Styela clava: one gene and its partner. The protein of the gene in region 1 interacts with the protein of each later gene in a pairwise test. Links are inferred from orthologs where the notes say so. Each region holds a gene or a part of one and is shown on either strand. Other genes may lie near its edges.

Region 1 (8,202 bases):
AGAATTTCACTCTCTATTCATTTCATTGAAAAGATAGTGCAGGCCATTGTGATCTGTAGTTCGTGCCCCCTTTCCACCACTTCAAGCAGAGGGCAATAAATTGGGTACATTATGATAGTTCAATAGTTACCTATTAATCTTATGTTTTTGTTTACAGTAATCATTACTGTCATGTCATTATTTCATTGCGGGCCTCATTGGTCACCAGTATAAATACTGGCAGTCTGCCTTGATGATATGTTTAGCATGTGCTATGTCGGTTTGAGTTATTTGCTTTAATAATAAACTATTACTGACTTATCACATTATATCGTTAATTGTATTTCATTGAGCCACATTTAGAGCAGAAGAAACAACAGATATAAAACGATTTGGCAGTGTATGAGTCCCAAGTTAACCAAGGAAGTGAATCCCATTTTTTCACGATCAGTGATGGGATTTGGAATGTGTTCTCTTTTGTATCAAACTCGCTAACAACAGATACCATCATTTTAAAAAGAATATGTATGTCACTGCGTAAACTGCAATAAGATGACACACTTTACATTAATCCAATATGTAACCTTTGAAATGTCAAATATAACGCTAGTTGTCAGCTGTGGTGAACTTTCACATCATTTACTATGACCGTCTGAAAACGGATTCGCTAATTATCATGACATCCCAAAAACAGGTTCGGTCACCACTTGTTCCAATCTCATGCCCACTACCAAGGATGTAATTAAATTGGGTGGGCAATATAAAACAAAAGATTCGGGTCCTTCAAAAAAGGGTGGCTCCTTATGTATTAATGACTATGTATACAGAGCCTTGTTTAGAGTGCAGGTGTGAAATACCATAGACATAGAGAATATCACACAACTATTCTATCCTATCCATAATCTACAATGAAAATGGGATCGTTACGATACAAGTGTATTAGTACTTACTGCCCTTCAGGACTGAGGTCAGCCATGATGAGCATCCGATGTGTCGGTGTGGTAATCACATGATTGTTTTGTCGAAATTCATCACTTGGAGTTTTCACCACAATTTTCAAACCTCTTGCACCTTGGCCCCTGTAGAGTTTAAACGTATATTTATTAATATTTCCAATAATGTAAGCAATTTTCATTTTCAACAACCTCTTTGGGCATATTTAGAGCAATGAAATAACTTTCCCAAAATTATGCTCTGTATTTCAATCGCATGGATCACATGCAGATCATTATATTTTATAGTTGGGCAAATGAGAAAAGTACTTCCTAATAAAGATGTACAGAAATATAAAGTTATGTAAGCACTCATTAATTCATAAATTGATACCTATATGATTGATGGTGTATTAGATTTGACAATATTGATATCTTCGATGTCTGGTTTGGTTTTCAATATTGAATTTAGAAAGGATGCTTGTGTAGATCCAATAGCAGGTATAGTAAAATATTAAAATAGTAGAAAAGGATATTCATATTTATCACAAGCGGAGACGAAAGACGATAAGACAACTTATTCATAGGGCGAATCAAGACCTCTTGTCCAGTTACCAGTCGGAAATAGTTAACCAATTGCATCAACTGGATGGTCGGGGAATCCGAAACTCACCAGCTGTTATGTGAATCACCCTACGATAGCGAGGAGTCCGGCAATCCGACATCATCACCCCCAACGGTATTCGAACCTGCCTAGGCAGGGTAATCAGCGGTGCGGCAAACGCTGCCCTCAAACACAATCTCATCGTTGTTTGTAGATTGATATCAGTATTTACAAAAAATGTTTATGAGGTCACACACGAGTCCAGAACACGTGTTTTTTGTCTGTGACATATAAGCGTGGAACCGTGTTTTTCGAATTTATTGATTCTCAATATTGAATTATGTTCGATCACGTTTAAGTCCGAAATACATTTTTGCTGAGAAGCACAGATTAGTCGATGCCCCGTAGTTGAACTGGTGTCATATTCATTGGTACAACATGAAAAAGGCAGTTCTTCGACAAATATGATTAAACGACTAATATAAAATTATATAGGTTCAGGAAGCCGAGTGCAAATATACTTGCATTATATTCTGAAGGTTAATTGGTCAGGTAAAGTAGACGGATTGGATTTGTAAGTACCGTATGTTCTTCCGTCTCCGAAAAAATAATTGTCTAATGATTTTTATATCTTAGGGTCATTAGAGATTATAGGACATGGCACAGTGCAAGGCAATCTAAAACGCGATTGTGCGACGTTGTACTATACTAATTGGGCGGAAGAAAAAAAATACAGAAACTCCGCTGGTGAATAATTTGTATCTCCGAGAAATGATCAAAGTCTGATATCAAATTTATTCAATTACTTGTGCTATTCTAGAGTATCATTTAGTTTTACATCATTGCACTGATTTCGTTAACACAATTTATCGTTATCTTAGGGAACGAGTATGTCTTTATTGCAAAGTTCTTGACTGTTGAAGCAACATTAACAAATAGTTTGATGTAGCTGTTCGTATCAGGTACGGATTGTAGAAAGACCGCTCTTTAAAACACGCGTTTCGATCATTTCCCATGTTTGGCCAAACGTACTAGATGTAACTTTATTCATTTGTCATGAAAAATTAGTAAGAAATACGAGCGGAGCAAACAGTGTGGTCGGAAATGTACCAATTGCGCTTTGCAACAACAACAATACAATCGTTGTTGGCATTATCAAGTGCCGTTTATAGCTTAGTCCTTGTTTCTATTATGAGTTCAACCATTTGTACATAAACGACGCGTGCGGAAGGCCTTAAAAAGAGTCGACTGGACGCAGGGAGATCAATATCCGGTAATTAAAAGAATAATAAGGTTTGCGTTCAGGTCGTCGACAGCAATACTTGCGGATGTGATCGTGCGTTATTGACGCAACGTCGTAGAAAGGTGGGTGTGATCAAAATATGTTTGAAATTATAAATTTGAAAGCGTTATACATTAACAGGCAAATTAGTAGAAACGGGAATTTTGAAATGATCAAATGTATATTATGGTTTTATAATGATAGATCAGTTGACGGTAATTTGAAAACGAGATTTGTTAGATTGAGATTTTAGGTTGTTTGCTAGATTAAAAAACTTGTAAAACATGGCCTTAAATTGTAATGCGTCAATACAATACATTTATTTAACTACGAGACATTCGAAAAATATGACCAAAATGACTTAACACCACGTGTCACACGTTTCCAGTTTATAATCGAAAGAACAGCGAGGTTGCCAAAGAGGATAAATTCAATGATTAATTGATCGGGATATTTCAGTTAAGCCTACTTTAGTACCGAAACATTATTTTTGGGCTCGAGGGTATATTTCCCATCCAGTTTGCTCATAAGTACCGTCGCGGCAGATTATGGCGGGTGGTTTTGATTATGTATGAAATGAGTTCGATTTTTCGAGGAAAAGGTTATATTTTTGCGCTATCGGATGAAATTCATTCTAGGACGTGAGATTATAATTAAAATTCATTTCGCTGCATTAGTAACCCCTATCATAAATGCGTGATCAATTTTATTTACCTAGTCAAATTGTGAAACTTCTCGAATAAATATGGGCGTTGGCGGATATAGCCATTCAGCATGCCTGACGCAACGACGATAAGCACTGCGATTTTACTATTTATATAAAATTAACGATAGGTTACGCGTGATCGGTTTTGCAAAAATAAGTCGCTCCGATATGTTTCCATTTTATCGCTAATCGCCACTCGCGCTTCATAACAGTATTATGTAACTAAACGTTTTATAACCGTTTTGGTAAATATATATTTTGTTATTTTCGACGCGACAAACGCGAAAAAGGGAACTTCTACGAATCATGGCAATCGTGGTTTACGTCACGTATTCGTAATTTTGTAGACAATGCTCTACGATCAGAGATAGGAAAACAAACACGACAGATCGCATTATCGCGAGTACATTGCGTTTTGATGTTGCGTCTAGGCCACAGACGGTGTAAGATTGCTAGTTACATAAAATGCAGAATATATAAGTATAAGATGCGCCGTTGTTGATACCACAGAGCGGGTATGTACTGTGAGCAGTCGTTTAGATTTTAGACTTCAGAAAACTCTATATCACTTCTACAATAGTTATTTTAACGCGGTATTGGATATTATATAACTGTAAAGTTTGAAACACTGCAAAATGTAGTATAACCACTGCGTCATAGATTGACATAGCAATTATACTGATTGATAGCGTGATTAGAAATCGAATGAATGGCATATATTATAAGTATCGCAGTGAACGTTGCTGGTAGAACTCATACGGTATTTGCTTTTTATGGGTTGTTTGATATGTAAACACTGTTTTTGATTTCCAAGATATACAAGGAATATACGAGTTTGCAGATAGATAAGCTCACGGGCACGATTTCACATAAGGTTGTTTGTCTGGTATAAGATCGCGAGCATACACTTTCAAGTTTTATGATCGTATGCAAAGAGGGAAGAAACGCGAGCGACGGTACTGTGTCGTGGCCAAATGTAAGATAACCAGTGTTGGGATAGGATCTGCAGTGGAAGCATTAAATTTTAGGAACCTTCTATGCGACGGAAAATTTTTCCCGATTTTTAATTCTTTCCGCTAATTCGCTGTGCATTCCTACATCTTATTTGGTTGATTTAGGTAAACATTCATTCGGCACATAACAAATATATGTCGCCGAATATGTCTAGTTAAAATCGGGGCATCGAGGTATTCGGGCGTTGTTCAAATATATAAAGAAACTGTGTTCTTCAATATAGGGACGTACAAACTTTGCAAAATAACAGAAACTTGCAGATGGCACAGGTGTTAGAAATAGCGTAATAAATATACCCGTCATATTCAGCGCCTTCACTAAGCTTGTGATTAACGACACTTCAGGCTTGGCGGGATATCCGGGAATTGTTTGAAAGCAGGGTTATTATTGCTAAGCGTGATTGCCAGTCAAATTACTTGCACGCATCCGTGAAAGCAGAGCGCTAGTTTGTTCAGTCTCGTTATTGATGGGAGTTAAATTGAGTGGAGTGACTTCAGCGCATTTATTTACAAAGTGTGTTTTATCTTTACTTTACTATCTTTTACACTAATTTTAGCAATGGCGTACGTAAATCTAAGCAAAGATTTGCCTGACATTGAAAACATATTGGCGTTGAATCCACGGACAAAACATCATGCTACCTTGACAACGACTGTTGCTACAAAGAAAGCGCGTAAGCACTGGAAGAGAAATTCGGACAAATCTTGTTCCACATGTAAACCATTGAAAAACGATTTTGACGATATCAAACATACGACTTTGAGTGAGCGTGGAGCGTTAAAGGAAGCGGCGAGATGCTTGAAATGCGCCGATGCACCATGTCAGAAGAGCTGTCCCACTCAGCTAGATATTAAGTCTTTCATTACTAGCATTGCAAATAAAAATTACTATGGTGCAGCTAAACAGATTTTCTCCGATAATCCTCTCGGACTCACTTGTGGAATGGTATGCCCAACAAGTGATTTATGTGTTGGTGGGTGCAATCTGTATGGTTCGGAAGAAGGTCCTATAAATATTGGCGGGTTACAGCAGTTTGCAACAGAGATATTTCGTGATATGAGAATCCCACAGATACGTGACCCGTCTATTGGGGATGAAATTCAGAAACCAGCTTACAAGCAAAAGATTGCTTTAATTGGTTGTGGACCAGCAAGCATAAGTTGTGCTACATTTCTAGCAAGACTTGGATATTCAGATATCACTATATTCGAAAAAATGGACTACATTGGAGGATTGAGTACATCTGAGATTCCTCAATTTCGACTACCTTATAATGTTGTTTCATTTGAAGTTGATTTGATGAAAGATTTGGGAGTTAAAGTTGAAACTGGAAAAGCTCTTAAAGCAGGTGAAATTACATTAAAATCATTGAAAAAAGACAACTACACAAGTGTCTTTGTTGGTATTGGACTACCCGAACCAAAGAAAATCCCTGTATTCAAAGATCTCACGAGGGATAATGGATATTATAGCTCAAAAGAGTTTCTTCCCTTAGTTGCTCGAGGCTCAAAGCCTGGTATGTGCTCATGTAAAACTCAGCTTCCATCATTTATCGGTGGTGTAGTTATTGTTCTTGGATCAGGGGATACAGCTTTTGATTGTGCCACTTCAGCATTAAGGTGTGGAGCACGCCGGGTATTTGTAGTTTTCCGCAAAGGATTCACAAATATTAGAGCTGTGCCCGAAGAGATGGAGCTGGCTAGAGAAGAAAAATGTGAATTTTTACCTTTCCTGTCTCCATTGAAAGTCTTCCAAGGTGAGAATGGCAAAATTACAGGCATGGAATTCGTGCGCACCACTCAAGATGATGATGGCAATTGGGTAGAAGATTATGAGCAGACAACAAAGTTGAAGGCAAATTATATCTTGTCAGCATTTGGATCTTCTTTGACAGATACCGATGTGCAAGATGCATTGGATCCGATTAAATTCAATTCTTGGGGTTTTCCCGAAGTTGATACCAACACAATGGTTTCAAGTGAGCCATGGGTTTTCTGCGGTGGTGATATTGCAGGCCAAGCACATACAACAGTGGAAGCAGTAAATGATGGAAAAACAGCAGCCTGGTATATGCATAAATATCTTCAGAGTTGCCATGGCCAAAGTGTATCAGAAGTCCCAAGGTTGCCAAATTTCTTTACAGCAATAGATAAAGTTGATGTAAGCATAGAGCTGTGTGGTATGAAATTTCCAAATCCCTTTGGACTAGCAAGTGCACCTCCAACGACAACATCTGCAATGATACGACGTGCATTCGAAGAAGGTTGGGGATTTGCTCTAACAAAAACATTTTCTCTAGAAAAAGATATTGTGACTAATGTGTCACCTCGTATTGTTAGAGGAACAACATCCGGTCAACTTTATGGTCCAGGACAAGGATCGTTTTTGAACATTGAGCTCATTAGTGAAAAAAGTCGTCAGTATTGGTGCCAAAGTATAACTGAACTGAAGAAGGATTTCCCAGAAAAAATATTGATTGCAAGTATCATGTGTGGTTATAACAAAGAAGACTGGACTGAACTAGCTCAAGCAGCAACGGAAGCTGGATCTGATGCCTTAGAGCTGAATCTTTCTTGTCCCCATGGCATGGGAGAACGAGGGATGGGGCTGGCTTGTGGGCAAGATCCTGAACTTGTTAGGAATATATGTAGGTGGGTGAGAGCTGCAAGTAAGCTACCTTTCTTTGCAAAACTTACACCAAATGTTACAAATATCGTTACGATTGCTACTGCTGCAAAGGAGGGAGGTGCTGATGGTGTAACAGCAACAAACACGGTATCTGGACTGATGGGATTACATTCAGATGGAAGTGCTTGGCCCAGAGTAGGAGCTAGTAAGAAAACAACATATGGAGGAATGTCAGGCAATGCAATACGTCCTATTGCCCTCCGTGCTGTTTCAGCAATTGCTCGTGCCCTTCCTGGATTTCCTATTTTAGCAACAGGTGGTATCGATTCTGCAGAGGTTGGCTTGCAATACCTCCAGGCTGGAGCAACTGTTCTTCAAGTGTGCAGTGCAATCCAAAATCAAGATTTCACTTTAATCCAAGATTATGTGAATGGATTGAAAGCGTTGCTATATATGCAATCCTCTGAAGAATATAAGAGTTGGAATGGACAGTCACCAGTCACACCAAGACACCAGCTTGGAAAAAAGGCCTATAATATGTCCAGCATGATCGGAAAAGATCTACCTCACTTTGGTCCATTCAAAAAAGAAAGACAAACAGTTGTTGCGCAATCCAAAGAATCTTTAGATATCAGTAACACATCAGCAACTCCCGCATCCCTAAATATTCCCATGCGAAAAATAGTGTCAGTTAGTGATGTAATCGGTGCAGCTTTACCAATGATTGGAGCATACAATGATTTGAACAACAAAGAACAAGTTGTTGCTGTTATCGACCCTGAAATGTGTATTAATTGTGGAAAATGTTACATGGCTTGCAATGATTCAGGATATCAAGCAATTGTGTTTGATCCAGTCACTCATCTTCCAACGGTAAATGACTCTTGTACAGGATGCACACTTTGTGCAAGTGTATGTCCTATTATCGATTGTATAAAAATGGAGAAACGAGAAACTCCTTACATTCCCAATAGAGGAATCCCAATTACAGTTGGAGTTTTAAGTTAGGTTGAGTCAAGTAAATTGCATCCACAATTTACAACTTTTGTACATTTAA
Region 2 (7,591 bases), about 3.4 Mb from region 1:
AAATGAATAAATTTAACATACATAAGTATATAATAATAATATTTCTATTGCCAATGCTTTATAATTTTGGAAAGAAGCAACTGCTGTGTGATTCCCGTCAATGTACAACATTTCTATATATCGTTGGATATAAAATTATGAAAGTGAACACTACTCGGATTGTGGGTAAAAAATTTCCGTAAATTAACACAGGTTTATTTTTTTAAATTATCTTTCAAACAGTCCTTTGTATTACTATGACAGGGTCATAAACTTGTAAACGAACGCATTACTGCATTAGGTTACTTTTTCTTTCTGTTTTCATATTTTGTCCAAGGATCAAAGTTGTTTAGTACCGGTACCCCTACTGGGGTTGAGATAATATCAAGTTATATCGTAGTAGCAGTAACGCTAGTCCCCAAACTCGTTATAGAACTAAAAAAAGGAAAATTGGAAAAAAAATTACGGCCTAACCCTAGCCTGGTACACATACTACGCCACACTAACTACTCAGAAAATCCCATGACAATCAGTGGACATAAAAATGCCTATTAAAGTGCCCGATTATATTTTGTTTTGATTCGTATTTTTGTGAATTCGACAAATCTGAGCTGTTCGTACAACACTTACTGCGCTCCAGTACTGTACGTACCAATGTGAAGGCAGTAAAGCAAAGAATCCTAAGGGAAAATGCCCTGGTACGTATACTACGGTAGCACCCGAAATTTTGCGATTTGCAATGTATAAAAAAGCGTTTTAATCGGTCGCGGACCATCATAAAACAAAACTTATGGTGTTTATTTTTAGTATTTTGTATTGTCGCTTTTCAATTTACAAAATTTGGGTTGCCGCCATTGATATGTACCAGAAATAAAATTTATTCCTCGTTGTTCGAACTCGCGAGAAACACCACTCAGGTAAGTAAGTTGGGAAATCTAATTTCGATTGAGCGACGCGCAAGTGACCTGTCGCGTCACATGTTAGTCATATCAGTAACCAGAATTATTGACTCGATTAATGCTATGACAATAAACTTACTTTTTATGTTTTATGTAAATTCTGACGTAAATCGTAACTTGGCTGATATTTAAGTTTCGCAAAAACGTTTGTGGCCCGCAATGAATTTCTGGCTCGTTGCGGACTCAAACCGTAAATTCATTTGACACCGCGGACTCGGGTTGGGAAACTCTGCATTAAATAAACGAAACTTCAAATGCATTATTTAATTAAATAGGTACAAGGGCAATGAATGGCTCAAAATATGGATACAAATGCCGCACATCGGTACCAGTACGAAAACTGTATTGAATTTCCACGAGCATCGTTTTCCTTGATTATTTCCGTAACAATGGCCAATCAGCAAAAAGTCAACGATGACGTAACAATTAAATTTTTTGAAGCCGCTTAGACAGATATTCAAGCATGACTGTAAACAATCCTCGTTTTTGCGGATTCGCGTGTTATCTGAAAATTAGTTGTGAATGAAGTATTTTAATTTTTTTAGGCGCGGCGGTGTGGCTCAACGGGCTAAGCGTTACGCTCGCCACCGCACCTCTAACTACTCTGCGTGGGTTCGCAGGTTCGAATCCCATGCAGGGATGGTTATGTGCGAGAGGATTGCTGGACTCCTCGCCGTCGTTGGGTGGTTCACGTAACCGCTGGTCGGTTACGGCTTCCTCCACCACCAAATCCATGCTTCCAAAAACAAACAATACAGTAAAACTAATCCCATACCCGACTTGGAATGGTAACCGGACGAGAGGCCGTGGTTCGCCATATGGATAAGCCGTCTTATCGGCTTTCCTCTCCCCCGGGATAAATATGTAAATCCTATCCTTAATTGTCATTAGTCAAGACTCAAGAGGGTCAAGAGTTAGCTCAATCAAAAATTAGTCCCGGGTAAGCTGCGATAGACCGGTATGCTCAAAAGAGCGTGTAAGTGGCACGTGGTTGTATATTTCAATAAAAGCAATGGTTTTGAGCAAGTAAAACAGTCTCTGAAACACTCGTAAAATAGGTACCCATCCAAAATTTTGCAATAGTAAAGTAGGCTATAGGGAGAATTTTGCTGGGCTCAAAGGTCGGGGAAACATCCTATGGATCTTTCCATCCTGTGTATGTAAATAGTATCAAAATCATCTGAAACTAGTAGTAGTATTTTATTTCGTCAACAATGTCAAATAGTTAACATACAACATTTTAAAATTAACTGTAAGGCATTGTGACGAGGCTGTAACGAAGCGACCGTTAGGTCATCCAGGGGTCGGTCGCTTCGCTACCCGCGAGGGGAAATGTAAAGAAATGTGTTTAGTAAGGTAAAAAGTAGGTGTTTGTTCTGATTTTGTTGGAAGACCCTGGTCGTTGCGCCCGACCTTTTTAGTCCATTAAATAGTTTAAATACTAGGTTAGAAACTGATCATCCCCAATGGGAATCAAGTTTTATTAATTTTAGGGCCCGTGATCACTCAACTGTGACGAATTTTTTTTGACATAAACTAGACCTCAATTAACTTGTATGACCCAAATATGGCATCTCTACCTATTACCATTCTCGAGATATAACGTAAAATCACTGGAGCATGACTGAGGAGTTGGAGAAAAAAAATTCCTTCAAAATAGATTCAAATAATTTTTCCAAATATACCCATGCTTTCACTTTCTCAATATGTCCTTTCAGAGGCCTGCAATAAGCCAAAATCACTAAAGCGTGACTGGGGAGTAAGAGAACAAAAATTTCTTCAAAACAATGTTAAGCTAATTTTTCCAACCATACCTATCTATTTCATTTCTCAATAGCTCTATTTTTAAGTGCGCAACCTTCTTACGCCACTGGAGGGCGATTGGGAGGGGGAAACACCGATTTTTCAGTAAAGAAAATTTCAAATAATTATACTCTTTGAGAATTAGGCAAATCTTGGCCCAAAACCCCATTCACATGCCTCAGAAATCCCTAAAAACAATAGAACCTAAGTGCGCGTGGCTTTGCACGAGTTTTCTCACCACAGAGGGCGTGGGGGCACAGCCCCCACCGCCAAAAAGACTTGGAAAAAAATTCCTAATACTCGGGCAAACGCTTTCCGGCCCCGGAAACTTAGCTAAACGGCCTCTGAACCCCTAAATCACTCTAGCGTGACTTGATTGACAGCTGATTGACCAATGAACAGCCTCGGGCCACAAAAACCCCGTTTTGACCCCTTTCCTCTGGCCCGATCGTTTCCAAAAATTTTCTGCGTCATGCGGACAGGGATACCTGACTAGTTAGACTGGGCATTCGCACTAAAGTGCGACAGGTTGCGAGACCATCGAGTCAGTCACAGCCATTCAGGTTCAGGTGTGATATAACCTCAGGGTTATATACACCTCAATGGCCACAGCCTTCAACAAAAATATAATATTATCATTTTGTCAACGAAATTGAGCTAAAGTAACACACACTGAAAATGAATTAACACAGAAGAGAAAAAAACAAAACTCAATTGAATATGTTAAAACACAGTAGTTTTTTGCCCTCCTACCATCAGTGACCGATGGTGTGAGTATGTTACTTGTTTTTAAAAAGTTTGCGGGCGAAGCCTGCATACCTGCAGTCTTTTATTTCCTGACTAATTTCATTCCAAATAACCGGACCTTGAAACAATATGGATTTTTGTAAAATCGAGTCTGACCTTGGAACAAATAGGTTGTGCCGTGATTGTGGATTAAACCCATGTTTTAAGAATAATTCATAAAAGTATTTGGAGAACAGTTTTGTTTCGTGCGGTGCACAAAATTTGCCACTTCATAACTATGCTTGTGCTGCCAAAATAAACAAGTGGACGCGGTCCAAATCGAATGGTCAAAAGGTCCGGATTCGGACCGCGATCCGCCAGTTGAGTAGCCCTATGCTAGCCTATACCTTCAGAGCCCCGATCTTTGTGTTACGTTAAGGTTAAGCCATAGTATTCATATATCAGTATATGTTCAGTATGGTCTGATGGTACGGTACCGTACCGGTAATTACTGAATTATAAAACCACAAGACAGCAAGATGTACACTGATCTTTAGGGGAGGCGGACAACTCGACTACACGGACAACTCACCAGAGACAACTCGACTACCTAGAGGCCTGGTGAGTTGTCCGTCTTTTGGCATTTTCTACCTCTACAGTGGTGTTTTAGGTCTATAGAAATGCTTTTTGATATTTTTAGTGCTCAAATGTTGAGAAAAATACATAAATATGCTTCAGTCATATCTTCAGTCCTATAAGTCAACAGTCTAACTTCGCTAAATTCTTTCTAGAGCATATTTATGTATTTTTTCTCAACATTTGAGCACTAAAAATATCAAAAACGCATTTCTATAGACCTAAAACACCACCGTAGAAAATGCCAAAAGAAGGACAACTCACCAGGCCTCTAGGTAGTCGCGTTGTCCGTCAGTCCGTCAATCAGGCTGTCTGGTTCAGTGATGCAAGTACCGTATTTTACCAAAATATCCACTTTTTATCGATTACAGCTTGTTGGCTTGGATTGCATTAACTTATAAATATGACTAGTGCAGCATCACTTTTATCAGCATTTGATTTACTGGAGAAAGAGTTTGATCGAGCTTATGTGGACCTTGACCTACTTCTCGGTGATACAGAACTTGATGATGTTGATGATATTTTGCAAACAGCGAAAGAGAAGATGAGTTCTCTCAGTTCATGTTTTTCTCAGTTATGCCACAAATCACAAAGTGCTGCTCAGAGGAATGTAAAATTAGAGGTAGGTTGGAAGGAAATTATAATTTAATATGAATTTTTATCCACAGGGTCATGAAATAATGCTGATAAGATGACTTAATCATGTTGCAAACCATGGTTGCTCATCCATTCTTTAATTCGGATTGAGCATCTAATTGATTCTATTCTGTCTTTTCGAGTACCCATGTAGTCTATTCTGTCTTTTCGAGTACTCATGTGGTCATCTTCTTTGACTAAAACACAATTCTGCAATTGAATAAATTTAGGCAGAACTCATTCACTATCGAACTGAATTATTGGATTGTCGTGCAGAAGTGGAGGCATTAAAAGCAGAATCAAACACACTTCTTTGTCAAATCCACGCACTTCAACTTCAATTACACAGCACAACAACTTCAGATCCAATGGATGCAACAAAAATAAAAGAAAATCTGGTATTGTATTATTTTTCTATCTTTGTAAATTAAAACTGATTTTGTGAACTGACAGCAATTCCCATTATGCACTAAGTATTGTATAGCATTTATGTCATTTTGGTTTAGTTCAATTTATTTTGAAAATCAACAAACATCTCTTATCTATATCTGTTTTGCTTTTCAACATTCTAACTTCTTAAAATAAATATTCTCCAGGAACAAGAATTAAGAAATTTTAAGAAAGATGCGAAAGAGCAAGCATTATTAGGAGAAACTGTGAAATTATATGAAACTCAAAATGAGAAACTCAAAGAAAGGTTAGCATTGTCGGAGAAAGAGTTGTTTGGTGCAAGATTGGCTGCAAAATATCTTGACAAAGAGTTAGCAGGAAGGTAATATGACACCAGAAACAGGAATGTACAATTCTGTTATATATTTTTATTGGTTCCATTACATTTGAACCCACGTACATTTGAACCCATGACAATTGCACCTGTATGCTATTGCACCTATGGAATTTTTTTTGTTTCACGGATAGTTAAACCCATACTAACCCTAACCCATGGGTTTTAGCACCCGCATATAGATTGAACCAGTGGATATACGCATGGGTTCAAATGTACGTGGGTTCAAATGTACGGTCACCATTTTTATTATTTATATTGCTCTAAATTCTTTCTTTATATTTTTTGTTGAACATCGATTTTTTATAGTAAATTGGTTGGATATTGAATGTTTTACCAACATTAATTAGATTTATTTATTTTCTAAATTTCTTCATATGTGTTACTGGGCTAGCCCTTTTTCTGCGGTTAATTAAAGCCTTAGATTTACTAAGATACTGTGTTGACCTCGCAGATTTCACATCTCTGATTCAAATTCCATGGTCCCCCCAACTCACCCAGGGTGTAATAATTTGGGTAGTTACGTTAATACCAAACCAGAAAGATTCCGGTCTCTCCAAATAATAGAAGCTACTTATATATTGCTAGATATCGGTGGCTTCTTGTATAAAGTCTTGTTCGGAGAGAAAGGCATGAATAAGTGCCGTATAAAAATATTATATGTAATCTCATATTCAAAAACCTGTTACTAACCCACAAGTGCATCTGGAATGCAAATACATCAACATTTGTGAAAATGATTGCATCGGTGAAAGATACAAATGTATCATGTGATCATTCTCATATTTTGTTGTTTTTAAACATTCAGAATTCAACAAATTCAACTTTTGGGAAGAAATATACAAACAAATAATTTTGAAAAGATGTGGAGTCAGTTAGAAGCTGAAATTCATTTACATCGACATAAAACAGTCATAAAAGCTTGCAGGGGAAATGGAAATCTACCTTCACCCCCACAGCATGTAAGAATGAAATGCTTCACTTTGGAATATATTTTGTAAATTGAAAGTTACATGGCACCTTAGTGCAAAATCCTAACATATTTATAGAAGCTGTTGTATTGCTTCATGCGTGGATTTTTTTGCCAAATATTTTTGATTGTTGGTATTCAATATATGTCCGAAAATGTCACTCTGTTCGTGGGTAATACCAGAAGAGAACATATGTGGAAATCTTGGTTATGATATATGACGCAAAAGTTGACTGTTATATTTTCAAACTTTTTTTGCCAAGAGTAATCAAATTTTTTAGCAGAAATTAATAAAGTCTCCCACATCAGAGTGGCCCAAATTTGGTTATAACAAGAGTTGGAGTCCAAATAAAATTTGATGAGCAATTTGAAAATGGTTTTAATCTGATAGAACTTCACGTCCATTTGTTTATTTATTTTTTGCTCACTTAAAGTTACGCTTGCTATATTTTTTGACAGATAAATAATGATGGTCCACAAAACCAAGGTGTTGGTCATGTGAGAAAGGTTACAATTGAAAAAAGGCCTGAAGAGGGTTTAGGAATATCAATTACGGTAAGTGGAGTATTTTTCTATTTGCTTATCCATGGGAATTTCTCAGTTGAGATTCATGGCAGCAAAAAATTTAAAGTTTACATTTCTGTTTTCAAAGGTAATTCATGATATATGTAAGGAATCCATCGATCCAATATAATGTTATGAATCATTTTCCAGTGTAAAAGTATTCGTATAGTTTGATTTAAATTAAATGGATTCAATCTGTAAGGTTACCCCTGTAACATAGGATGTTTTTAAAATATTTATTTTATTCGCAACACTGATTACAATGTTGCAGATAAAATAAGTATCTATTCAATGTGTATAATCAATATTTCATCAAATATTCATACACTTGCCTCATACTTGGGCAGCTTTGAGGTCTGTGATTAGGAAATACATTTATCAGCTGTTTTATTAACCTTTCCACTCGAGTTTTGGATCTGATTCAGTTGTTGTTTCAAGATCTGATGCACTATTTTCTTTCCTGTAGTATTGCAATCGGTATATTTTAGGAATCTATGAACTGTAATAATATCATCTAGTGGTGTGACTTTTATC

The links.
Region 2: the proteins of dihydropyrimidine dehydrogenase [NADP(+)]-like (region 1) and Golgi-associated PDZ and coiled-coil motif-containing protein-like interact in a two-hybrid assay, tested with the Homo sapiens proteins (2 studies listed by BioGRID and IntAct). The link is inferred for Styela clava from reciprocal best matches to the Homo sapiens genes DPYD and GOPC.

Annotation. Positions count from the first base shown.
Region 1 is NC_135257.1:11,297,781-11,305,982, reverse strand, and holds the start of dihydropyrimidine dehydrogenase [NADP(+)]-like, read left to right. Parts: upstream 1-4,986; 5' UTR 4,987-5,075; coding exon 5,076-8,153; 3' UTR 8,154-8,202. Other genes in the region: tectonic-like complex member MKS1, read right to left, coding at 930-1,058.
Region 2 is NC_135257.1:14,746,828-14,754,418, reverse strand, and holds the start of Golgi-associated PDZ and coiled-coil motif-containing protein-like, read left to right. Parts: upstream 1-4,456; 5' UTR 4,457-4,506; coding exon 4,507-4,725; intron 4,726-4,969; coding exon 4,970-5,137; intron 5,138-5,335; coding exon 5,336-5,511; intron 5,512-6,331; coding exon 6,332-6,485; intron 6,486-6,952; coding exon 6,953-7,048; intron 7,049-7,591.